Linked DNA regions of Lonchura striata. The main gene of each other region encodes a partner of the protein of the gene in region 2 in a complex. Links are inferred from orthologs where the notes say so. Each region holds a gene or a part of one and is shown on either strand. Other genes may lie near its edges.

The links.
Region 1: CHCHD6 (region 2) and APOO share a complex: the UniProt entries of both Homo sapiens proteins name them as parts of the mitochondrial contact site and cristae organizing system (MICOS) complex. The link is inferred for Lonchura striata from reciprocal best matches to the Homo sapiens genes CHCHD6 and APOO.
Region 3: CHCHD6 (region 2) and MICOS13 share a complex: the UniProt entries of both Homo sapiens proteins name them as parts of the mitochondrial contact site and cristae organizing system (MICOS) complex. The link is inferred for Lonchura striata from reciprocal best matches to the Homo sapiens genes CHCHD6 and MICOS13.

Annotation. Positions count from the first base shown.
Region 1 is NC_134604.1:103,816,585-103,820,329, reverse strand, and holds the start of APOO (MICOS complex subunit MIC26), read left to right. Parts: upstream 1-1,548; 5' UTR 1,549-1,588; coding exon 1,589-1,597; intron 1,598-3,745. UniProt on the Homo sapiens protein: Component of the MICOS complex, a large protein complex of the mitochondrial inner membrane that plays crucial roles in the maintenance of crista junctions, inner membrane architecture, and formation of contact sites to the outer membrane.
Region 2 is NC_134614.1:13,514,265-13,518,009, forward strand, and holds the start of CHCHD6 (MICOS complex subunit MIC25), read left to right. Parts: upstream 1-1,072; 5' UTR 1,073-1,169; coding exon 1,170-1,259; intron 1,260-2,850; coding exon 2,851-2,980; intron 2,981-3,745. UniProt on the Homo sapiens protein: Component of the MICOS complex, a large protein complex of the mitochondrial inner membrane that plays crucial roles in the maintenance of crista junctions, inner membrane architecture, and formation of contact sites to the outer membrane.
Region 3 is NC_134630.1:4,053,835-4,057,579, reverse strand, and holds the start of MICOS13 (MICOS complex subunit MIC13), read left to right. Parts: upstream 1-868; 5' UTR 869-933; coding exon 934-962; intron 963-2,115; coding exon 2,116-2,272; intron 2,273-3,020; coding exon 3,021-3,072; intron 3,073-3,500; coding exon 3,501-3,598; 3' UTR 3,599-3,745. UniProt on the Homo sapiens protein: Component of the MICOS complex, a large protein complex of the mitochondrial inner membrane that plays crucial roles in the maintenance of crista junctions, inner membrane architecture, and formation of contact sites to the outer membrane.

The DNA.
Region 1 (3,745 bases), on a different chromosome or scaffold from region 2:
CACTGTGAAGAGAATTAACTCTACCCCAAACTAAATCATGCTCACCGATGTGAATTATTCTGGCAGTGAGCCAGGAGGACACTGATGTGGCAAGTGTATTTCTCTCCCTCTCAGGATTTTTCATAGAGGTGCACAGAGAGCAGTTAGAGAGAAACCAATTTCTGCTCTTTGTTTTCCTGTGTGGAATGTGTTTGGAGAATTGTTTACCTGAAGTGAGTGCTTGATTGGATTCTGGCGAGGATTGTTTGAGCCTGATGTCCGATCAATCCACCTGTGTCTGCACTCTAAAGAGAGGGTTAGGAGTTGTGAGAATTAAGAGAAGGTAGTATATAGTTTTAGTATCTTCCTTTATCTAGTATGTTAACGTATTTTAGCATAGTTATAATAAAGAAATCATTCAGCCTTCTGAATTGAGTCAGACATCGTCACTTCTTCCGATTGGGTTGGCCGGCATTTGCAATGCAGGGGAGCCGGTGAAGGGCGTGGGGAGTCCTGCGGGGAGCGGCTGAGGGAGCGGTGTGTGTCCGGCCGGCTGAGGGGGCCCCGGCACTGCCCGCTCCAGCGCGGCTCTGCGGCCGGCGGCAGGACGAGGACACAGACCTGAGCCGCGCCGGAGAGCCTTTAGTGGGACTCAGCAAGAATTTCTTCACAGAAAGGGTGAGCAGACATTGGAATGGACTGCTGGCGGAGTCACCGACCCTGGAGAGGTTTAAGGAAAGGCTGGACGTGGCGCTCAGTGCCATTAGCTTTTCTCAAGAAACTGCGTTTCTTGAAGACGTCCGGGGATGGTGACTCCACCAGCCTGGTGGTGCCGTGGTCTAGCTGACGTGGGTTTGGTAACAGGCTGGATTCGACGCTCTCAGAGGTCTTTTCCAACCTCATTGATTCCTGTGACTGATTCTGTGAACGGCCGAGCCTTCCTCACAAAGGTTGCAGGGCAGCACAGGGAGCCGTGCGGCGGGGCTGAGGATCAGCGTGCAAGCGCTTTGCTCCCACAGGAGCCGTGCGGCGGGGCTGAGGATCAGCGTGCAAGCGCTTTGCTCCCACAGGAGCTGGGCCGTGCAAGCGCTTGGCTCCCACAGGAGCCGTGCAGCCCAGCGTGTAAGCGCTTTGCTCCCACAGGAGCTGGGCCGTGTAAGCGCTTTGCCCCCACAGGAGCCGTGCAGCCCAGCGTGTAAGCGCTTTGCTCCCACAGGAGCTGGGCCGTGTAAGCGCTTTGCTCCCACAGGAGCTGGGCCGTGTAAGCGCTTTGCTCCCACAGGAGCCGTGCCGCGGGGCTGAGGATCACCGTGCAAGCGCTTTGCTCCCACAGGAGCTGGGCCGTGCAAGCGCTTTGCCCCCACAGGAGCCGTGCAGCCCAGCATGTAAGCGCTTTGCTCCCACAGGAGCTGGGCCGTGTAAGCGCTTGGCTCCCACAGGAGCCGTGCCGCGGGGCTGAGGATCAGCGTGCAAGCGCTTTGCTCCCACAGGAGCCCGCCAAGGCCGGAGCCCCTCCGCCGCCCGGGCGGCGGCGGCAGCGCGCGGGGCCGCCCCGTGACGTCACGCCGCGGTGACGCCGTCGCCCCGTCGCCGCGCGCCCGGCGCCGCCATGTTCAAGGTGAGGAGGGGTCCCCGGCCGGGCCCGCCGCCGGCCGCGCTCGGGGCTCCGCGCTCCGCCCGCGCCCTCTGCCTCTCTCCTCTCCGCCGCTCTCACTGCCGCTGTCCTCGCAGCTGCTTAGCCGCTCCTCTTAGCGCTTCGGAACCGCGTGCCCTCGCGTTGCACGGAGAGGGGCACACTCCCGATTTACAGCCGCTGCCGGGTGCCCCCCGCGCAGATTCGTCCCTTCCGTACGGGGCTGCCCGCACCGCGGGGCTCTGTCACCGCTCGGTTCGGGCCCGGGCAGCTGTCGCTTGAAAGCGTCGGTTCGATCTTGAAAAGTTTCCTTTTAGTGCCTGAAGGTTGCCAGCGAAACCTGCGGAAAGCCCCGTCCGGCTCTGGCTGTCTCAGAGATTTCTGCCTGTGGTTAGAGCAGCCCCAGATCCCATCAGGCTAAAAGCAACTCTGTGCCAGTCAGATCGTTGTTAGGCTGCTTGCTTAAAAAAAACACCAAACCACCAAAACCTGGTGATGCTCGCTTCTTGGTATTCATTTTCCTTGGTACCATTTTCTGTGTGAAATATTGATAATATATCTAGATACCAGTATACCGAGGATACTAAATAGTAATATATAACATCTCAACATGAGGAAGAACTTCTTTATGTTGAGGGTGGCAGAGCACTGGAACAGCTGCCCAGGTCGTGGAGTCTCTCTGGAGGCATCCAAAGCCCACCTACCAGCACATGTTCCTGTGTCACCTGCTCCAGGTGACCCTGCCTTGGCAGGGGGTTGCGCTAGATGATCTCCAGAGGTCCCTTCCAACCCTGACAATTCCGGAGTCTGTGATACTGATGTGCTGAGCCCTTGCTTGCTCTGCTCTTGTCATAAATTCCTTTTTCTTTATGTCCTTTAATGCTGGAATTCTGTGCACAGAATCATTGAGGATTCCATAATTGATGCTGAATTGTCATTGGAGGGTTGATATGTGAGCCTGTGCATTTAGGCACTATCTGTATTAGTGTATTAGTACTTTTACATAGCCAGTGAGGATTTATGTCCTTCAGGCCAACCTGATGTTATGCCTCTAAGAGCCAAAGGGAAGGTAGCTTTTTGTCCAGGATACTTTTGCTTCAGGGACAGGAATGTTCAAGAATTTGGATTTTGGTTTGATGTTTTTATGGTTTGGGCTGAGAAATAGGAGGAAGAATAGAAAAAGATGAGGAAAACTGTTTTCATACTTTAGGACCAGTATCAGCCTTCTCAAAAGTATGCTCAAGCTTTTCCTATCAAGTCCTAAAGATAAAATTGAATTCTTAGCTAGAGAGGAGTAAATGTATCTTTTTTGCTTAAAATAACTGCAGAGCATTGCCAATAGAAAAGAATGTCAGCTCTGCTTTTCTGATACTGAGTGGCTATAGGACTGGCAGGCTGAAGGCACAGCTCAATCAGTCCAAATGTTTTACTAAAGCAATTGTTTTGGTAATATATGGTTAGTATGGAAATCAAAAATGAGATCCTACAGGGCATTTTGGAAACAAGTACAGCAGCTGATCTTTCATACTCCCAAGTAGTTCTGTGTATGCAAATATGCAGTATTTCAGCAGTAGTTCTGCCTGTCCCATGAGGTAGCTGATGTAGGAGACCATTGAAGTATGATTTGAACAGCACATTTAAGAAGAGATTCAACTTGCACTTTCAGAGGTTAGTTTCATTTTGTTAAAAATTAAAAACAATGGAAAATGTCTGCACTTCAGTATCTTGATAATATAAACAGTTAACTTTTCAGTCTGAGTAGTCCTATGTCACTGATACTGTTTTGTGAAACCCAGGTGCTTCCAGTCTTGTGCTGTGCTATTTGTGTCTTTATATAAAAATCTCAAATATCTAAAACATTTGGTTTTACTGTTTATACTTGTGACACTTAGCACCATTTACACTGTTTGAAAACATATTACAAAGAGAAAATGCATTTAGATTTTTGCCTTTTCAGTGACATAACAGTTTTGCAGTGAAAAAATGAAAGATTGAGGAAATAAACTCTACGGCTATTAATGGTTAGTAGTGTTTGTTTTTGTCCTGGCTAACAGAAGTATGTGAAAAGTGTTTAAGGAAACACTATTAAAGATTATCCTTGTCTTTCCTTGGCTTTGAAACAGCTGATCCAGT
Region 2 (3,745 bases):
GTGGGTGAGGGAGCTTCAGGCGCCCCTGTGCTCTTGCCTGGCTGGTGAGGGTGTTCCTGGGGTGCAGGCAGCTCACACTGCACAATGCAGTGCCCTTGTCTTGAGAGCTTGAGCAATGGGCTGACTCCAGCATACAAGGTGCTGCACAATTAACAAAAATATTCCCTACTTCCAGGAATGTGCTCTAGAAGAGACCTGGATATCCAGAGGGGTTTAGGGGGTGCAGACTCACAGATACTCCCTGAACATTGGCCCATGTCCGACTGAGGCAAAGCTCTGGTTGCCACATTAACCGCAGTGAGCAATAAGCATTAAACACTTAAAACTGCTCCCATGCACTACTGAGGAGTAGTGGGCCGAGTAGATAAGTAGCACATTGATACCAACTGGCCCATATTTCTGGGAATGCAGAAAGCTTGTTTGAAAAAGATTCTCCAAAGCTGTTATTTCTTGGTTCAGCTGCCTCTGTGTTGCATTATCTCATTCCTTCTGTTCTGGCTGTTGGCTCAGCCATGCCTGGCAACGGGGACTGTATCAGCCTGGCCTGAGCTGTGCAGGACCCGCCCGTGTGTGTCAGGGCAGGGGACGGCCCCGCTGGCTGGAGCAGAGCTGCTGCAAGGTGAATTCCGCTCCCAGCGCAGCTGCTGTGCCTGACGAGAGGTCATCCTTCCTCAGCTTGGCAAAGCGCCGTGCCTTGGACGTGTAGCAGCGGAAGATGTGCGGGCAGTTTTGGTGCCGCGTTCACTGCCAGGGCGGCGTGGAGGGCGAGCTCAGCGGGACAGGAGCGGCGAGGAGGGCGGGCTCAGCGGGACAGGAGCGGTCATGAGGGCGGGCTCAGCGGGACAGGAGCGGTCATGAGGGCGGGCTCAGCGGGACAGGAGCGGTCATGAGGGCGGGCTCAGCGGGACAGGAGCGGCGCTCTCCGCTGCCCCGGAGCCGCCTCTCTGCCCTGCGCATCCCCGGCACCGGGCGGGCCGCCCGCTCGCGGAAAAAACTACATCCCCCAGCGTGCACCGCGCCCGGCCGCTAGCACCGCGCCGCGCTATTGGCCGCCCCGCGGCCGCCGCCAATGGGGAGCGGGTATATTGGCAGGCGCTGCCAGGGCAGAGGCGCTGCTGGCAGCCGGTGCGGGAGAGGGGCGCGGCGAGGACGGGGCGACCCCGGGCGGCATGGGCGGCAGCGAGAGCAGCCAGAGCGGCAGGAGCGTGTCCTTCGGGCTGGATGAGCGGGAGCGCGTCCGGGTGCTGCAGGGCATCCGGGTGAGGCGCCCGGGGGTGTCGTGGGGCCGGGGGCGGAGGGAGCCGGGCTGCGCAGGGCTCCGGCCGGGCGGTGGGGGGAGCGAGGTGGAGCGCTGGAAGATGTGGGGGAGCAGGGACGAAGGGAGTGGAACCGGGAAGGCTGAAGGAGTGGGGGGTTGGAGAAGTGATGGGGAGAGTGGTGAGAAAGAGGGCTGGGGGCCTGGGCATGGCTGCTGTCGAGCTGGGGCACGCCAGCTCTTTATTTTCACTTCCAAGCTCTGCTCTCAGCCCTCGTTCCCTCCTCGCTGCTCGGTGACCTCGTTTGTGCCGCGCAAGCAGCGTGATGCTCCCAGCAGGAGACAGCTCTGCCCTTGCTCACGGTGCCCGGGCAGAGCACCGCTGTGTGAGCAGGGCGAGGCGAGAGCCTGCACACAGGGATGCTCCGGGAGGGACAGCGGGGAACTGCTTCTTCACCTTCGGTCGGAGACTGACAAGTGTGTGTTGTGGAAATAAGCCCTAGAGAGTGGTGGTGCTACCGTTAAGGAATAGTTTTTCCCGTTTATATATATATATATTTTTTTTTTTTTTTACATGTTAGTTTTGGGCTTTTTTTTTTATTACTACTATAATTTTCATTGCTCTTGCTTCATGATCCTTTTATATGATTTCTCCCTAAAATCTGCCAGAAATGAACTTTCAGAGTGTTGTTGTGGCTGCTTATTTTTCATCCCATTTTGACTAATTATTTGACAAAAGTTAGCTAAGATTGTGCCTATCTTGTTTGTAAATACTTGTTAAAGTATTTAATGGAGGTAAAATTGTCTTTGCCTATTTTATCTTTACAGGATATAGACAAGGATTTGTGTCTTTAAAATTAGGAATTGGGCATGATAATAATGTAAATTGATGGTACAAAAAATGCTATTAAGTTGGGTAGTAGTGGTATAGCTGAAAATATGTCTTCTACTGTGGCAAGCTAGGTGGGGAACAGCCTCATTTGGTTTTGTTCTGCAGCCAGACCCTCTGACCTTGGCAGGAGGAAGGGGTAAATTTTAACAGTGCTGTGAGAAGCCTTTTGGACTGAATTGCCAGAAAACTTTAAGTTAACTTTTCTTTCTTTTTCATGGGTTTGAACCCAAGTCAGGGGGTGAAAATGAAGTTGAGGTTGCAAAAGTGTTTGTAGCCTTATGTGGGTGGGAGGCTGTTGTCTGTCATGTGGGTTGCAGCATGGCTGCCATGCTGAGCTGGGTTAGCAAACATGGAGCAAGAAGAGGAAAAGATGGATTAAAACCTGCTTAATTCCTTTCCTTCCAATTCTGGTAAATTTTTCCCTATACAAGGAATTGACTTGTTTAGGGATGGTCTCCACCTTTGTTGGTGTTTGTGAATGATTGTCTAGTGAAGCTTTTAGGGTCAGGCAGTAGATTGGAGACTTTGTCACTTACTGATAGGGTATGGCTTTTAAAAATGTAAAGTCAACATGCAAGTGCTGACTGCGTGGACTGGAGGGAAATTGCAGTGAGGAAACTGAGAGCGCTTCTGTGCTATCATGGGAAGTAACAAACGGGGAGGCCTGCAGTGAAAAGCTGACTTGGCTGGTTCTGTGTTTCAGCTCACTGAAGATGTAGTGAACCGGATGAAAGGATCCTCTCAAAGTAGAAGGGACAACCAGAGATCTCCCCGTGCATCCAATGGCACAGCTCCATCCTCACTGGCTGCAGAAGGGAAACCCAGACCTACAGGTACTGCCTGTCACAGAGGGTGCTGGTGGTTTTCAGTGCTGCCCCGTTGTGAGAGGAGCTCTTTGGTTAGTCTGTATCACTCTGTGAGCATTTTTAGCATTTCAGATCAACGTGCAGTAAACAAGGCAGAAATATTTTGCTTTTAATTTCTGGCAAGCTGCCTTGTTGTCTGCTGTGCATATTGTGTATATTGTGCATGGGTGAGGGAAGTACTGCTTTTTATTCTATGGAAAGAAGCTCATAGGGAAAGATAACCTGTCTAAGCACAGCTGGCTGAGTGGATGATGACAACGTGGTTTGTGAACTTTGAACTTTAAACTTGGTTTGTGAAGTCTTTCTTTACATGTCAGAAAACAATTTGATTTCTATTGGTTCTCAAATAGACTTTGGTGATGTATATCAGCAGTGTGGATTTGTTTAAGGCATCCAGACAAAAATGACATTAGGGTTTGCTTTTAGGGTTTTGTTTGCTGTCAGCCTATGTCTTTTCTGAATGTATATCTAGCTTTATGGATGGCCTGAACTGCCAATTTCATCTTCACTTGTGGAATCCCTTTTAATTACAAGGAGAGAAGGAGGTCAAGAGGAAGACTTACTGGAACTAGAGGAAGGAAATGGAAAATAGGTCTACAATCATGCTCAGTGTATATACATTTCAGTATATATAAGGATTTCAGGAGTTAATATCCTCACATAGAAGTTTTCTGTAGCATGGTTTATTCAGTGTGCCTGTTTGAAAATGATGCTGTTGGTGTGTCTGTTTCA
Region 3 (3,745 bases), on a different chromosome or scaffold from region 2:
ACAGCGCGACAAGACGGGCGGCGGGGACAGCGCCACAAAGGCGCAGGAGCCGCGCCCGGCCCCTCACACCCTCTGCCCTGCCCGGCCCCCTCACACCCCTCAAGTCTTGCCCGTCCCCTCACGCCCTCAGCCCTGCCCGGCCCCTCACACCCCACACGCCCCTCAGCCCTGCCCGTCCCCTCACTCCCCTCACGCCCCTCAGCCCTGCCCGTCCCCTCACTCCCCTCTCGCCCTCAGCCCTGCCCGTCCCCTCACTCCCCTCACGCCCCTCAGCCCTGCCCGTCCCCTCCCGCCCTCAGCCCTGCCCGTCCCCTCACGCCCCTCAGCCCTGCCCGGCCCCTCACACCCCTCAAGTCTTGCCCGTCCCCTCACGCCCTCAGCCCTGCCCGGCCCCTCACACCCCACACGCCCCTCACGCCCCTCACACCCCTCAAGTCCTGCCCGTCCCCTCACGCCCCTCACGCCCTTAGTCCTGCCACTCCCCTCTCGCCCTCAGCCCTGCCGTCCCCTCACTCCCCTCTCGCCCTCAGCCCTGCCCGTCCCCTCACGCCCCTCACTCCCCTCCCGCCCCTCAGCCCTGCCCGTCCCCTCACGCCCCTCACAACCTCAGCCCTGCCCGTCCCCTCACGCCCTCACGCCCTGCCCGTCCCCTCACGCCCCTCACTCCCCTCACGCCCCTCAGCCCTGCCCGTCCCCTCACGCCCTCAGCCCTGCCCGTCCCCTCACTCCCCTCACGCCCCTCAGCCCTGCCCGTCCCCTCACGCCCCTCACAACCTCAGCCCTGCCCGTCCCCTCACGCCCTCAGCCCTGCCCGTCCCCTCACTCCCCTCACTCCCCTCACGCCCTCAGCCCTGCCCGTCCCCTCACGCCCCTGACGCCGGCGGCGCGGGCGGGGCCGCGCGCGCACGTGACGGTCCCGGTGCCGCCGCCGCCATGGCCGCCCGCCTGCTGCCCGTTGTCAAGTGAGTCCCGCGGGCCCTGCCCACCCTCCCGGCCCGGCCCGGCCCGGCCCGGCTCGGCTCGGCCCCCCCGCACCCTCCGCACGGCGTTCCCCCCGTGCTCCCCGCGCCTCAGTGCTCACCGCTGTCCCCGGCCCGTCCCCAGGCCCGCGGCCGGCCCTGTCCGTGGCTCTGCTGGCTTCGCTGCACGCCCTTGGCCTCGCCTGCCCCCGCAGCTCCCCGTGTGTGTTCGTACACGCCGGGAGGGCCCTGCAGCTCCCTGTGGGCGGACATGGACGCGTAACAAAACCCGGGAGTAGCGCGGGGCTCGGAGCTGCTCGTACACCCACAGGAAGTGCGGAAGGGTATCCTTGGGAGCCAACAGTGCCTTTTAGCAGAAAGATCGCTTTTCCCCGAAATGCGTGTGAATACACGACTTTAAAAATTGGTTCGCTCTTGTCAGCTCTATTGTATCTGTCCTACTACTGCAGTACCGCTGTCTGCCAAGTTTTGGGTTGTACAATAACTTTGGCTGTTTTTTTTAAAGGGAAAACATTCCTCTGTGTATCTGAGAAAGTCACTTACCTCCGATCTCTTATTTAGAATGGAAATGCCAATAAATGCCAAATACTCTCTTCCCGTCTTCCCTTTTGTAGGTTGCCATCACAGCAGTAAAACTGGTAACTGCACATCATGCAGGAAACTTTAAAAGCCTTGGCAATGCAAACACCATGGCCAGGTGTTCACTGAGCATAATAAGATCTTGGTATCTGTCAGATTTATTAGATAAATATCAGATTTATCAAGAAGAACCACATTATTAACATGGATGGCTCGCCCACTGCAGAATTCTTTAATTGCTTTCAGCAGAGGAATATGCCAGTGATTCTCAGGCTTTAAAAAGTGGCACATGTTCTTGAGGAACTTGACACTTTCTTATTTTTATATTGAAAACCAACACTGATAAAATGTGAATTAGAAGTAGTTTCAAGGGGCTGACAGGCAGTAGTTGTCCTGGGAAGGCAAGGAACATAGGTAGGTATTTTTCTGCTGATTTTTACCTCCAGTAAGACATGAGATTTCTTTCCTGATACCCTCTTTGGCAGTCACAACCACTGAAAGAGATGCACTGATGGTCAGAACATGAACTGAACTGTTCTGCTTCCAATTCTTTCAGGTTTCTGATCAAAGGAGGCCTGGCTGGAGCTGCTGTGTACGTAGCACATGACCAGGGGCTGCTGGGCAGTGGCATAGAAGGTGCTGAAGCACTCAGAAAAGCTCAAGAAACGCTGCCTCCAACTATCCAAGAGTGGACAGATTACCTGGGCTGGGAGGTAAGGGCTGCTCGGGTGATCCCTGCAACACAAACATCTCTGAATCAGGAAGAGAAAATATAGGGGTGATATTCTGATTCTGGTGAGCCTGGTAGGAGTTTTACTGCTGAAACTGGATTTCACATTGCAAATATTTTGAAGAGGATTGAAATGGAAGGCAAATAAAATGCTAAATTTGGGGCAGAGACATTGCTCACAGATGTTATTTCAAAGGAGAGGGGTAAGCAGCCTATGCAGGGTCAAGGGGGGGAATTGCAAACATGCTCTGGGAGGTATTTCACTATGTAGTTTTCTTCTGAAGGATCCTACTTGTTTTTAAGAAAAACAATGAAAATATTATCCTCCCATTTTTTCACATTGCTAACAATTCAAGTTGAATTTAAATTGCTTGAAGAGGCCCCTCCTCTATGAGTAGCTCTTAGTTTTTAAAATCCTCAGAAAATAAGAAACCTTTGCTTAAAGTTTGAAAAGATTCTTCATATTACAAACAATTATAAACTAACAGAGACACCCAAGTAGATGATTTTTCAGGAGCACCTAAATAACATGTTCTATCTTTTGCACCTACTTTATATTGCAGGAAAGAGCAAAGCCCAGACTTTAAGCATCATGTCTGGTCACTTTTGAGGCTTATGGAGAGTAGGCACACAAGTATTTTTGAGATCTGAGGTCAAGAGGTTTTGCCAAGGTGATGTGAATTCCAAGTGAAACCCCTCAAGTGCTGATATTTTCTCTCTCTTTTTCCTAGCTCCCACCCACTCCAAAAATTGACTTTTCCCTCTCTGCTTACTGGAATAAAGGTAAAATAACTGCTCACTACCTGATTCTGAGCTCAGTCTTTGGCTTTTCAGAAAGGATGAGCATTCCCATTGCTATTATAATTTTAGGCATTTTTGCTTGAATGCCAAAGCCTGTTATAAATACCTAGTAATACACAGGTTTTATGGTGTAGCAAAGAATCTTTATGTAATTGTGGGGAAACACAATCCACAAATGACTGTGACATGTCCAGAACTGTAACTGTGGCAAGGCCAGAAATAAAACAGGACTTAAACAAAGAACTGAGCTCAGTCCTGTAATTGTCTTAGCTCATGTACAGACCCTGAAGTTGGAATTTCTGTGTCACAAATGCTCAGGGTTTAAAGAGATTTACAGTGGTGGTGTTGGAAATCGGGAAATTTGGCTTGAATGATGATCTTGGGGTAATTCTTCTCTGCTTTGCTTGCAGGGGTGCACAGAGTCATGTCTGCCTTGTCTGTAGCTCCCACCAGGGCCTGTGAATACACAGTGGAAGGCTGGAAATACGTGAAGGATCTTGTGAAATGAACAGGATTCTCAGTCCACCGCTCTGGAGGGCAGCTTGGCTGTGTAAGGGCTACAATAAAAGACTTTGGTGGAACTTCCATTTGTATTTGGGTTGGTTTTAGCCTGCAGAGTGGAATAATTGCTTTGTCTTAGCACTGATCCAAGGCT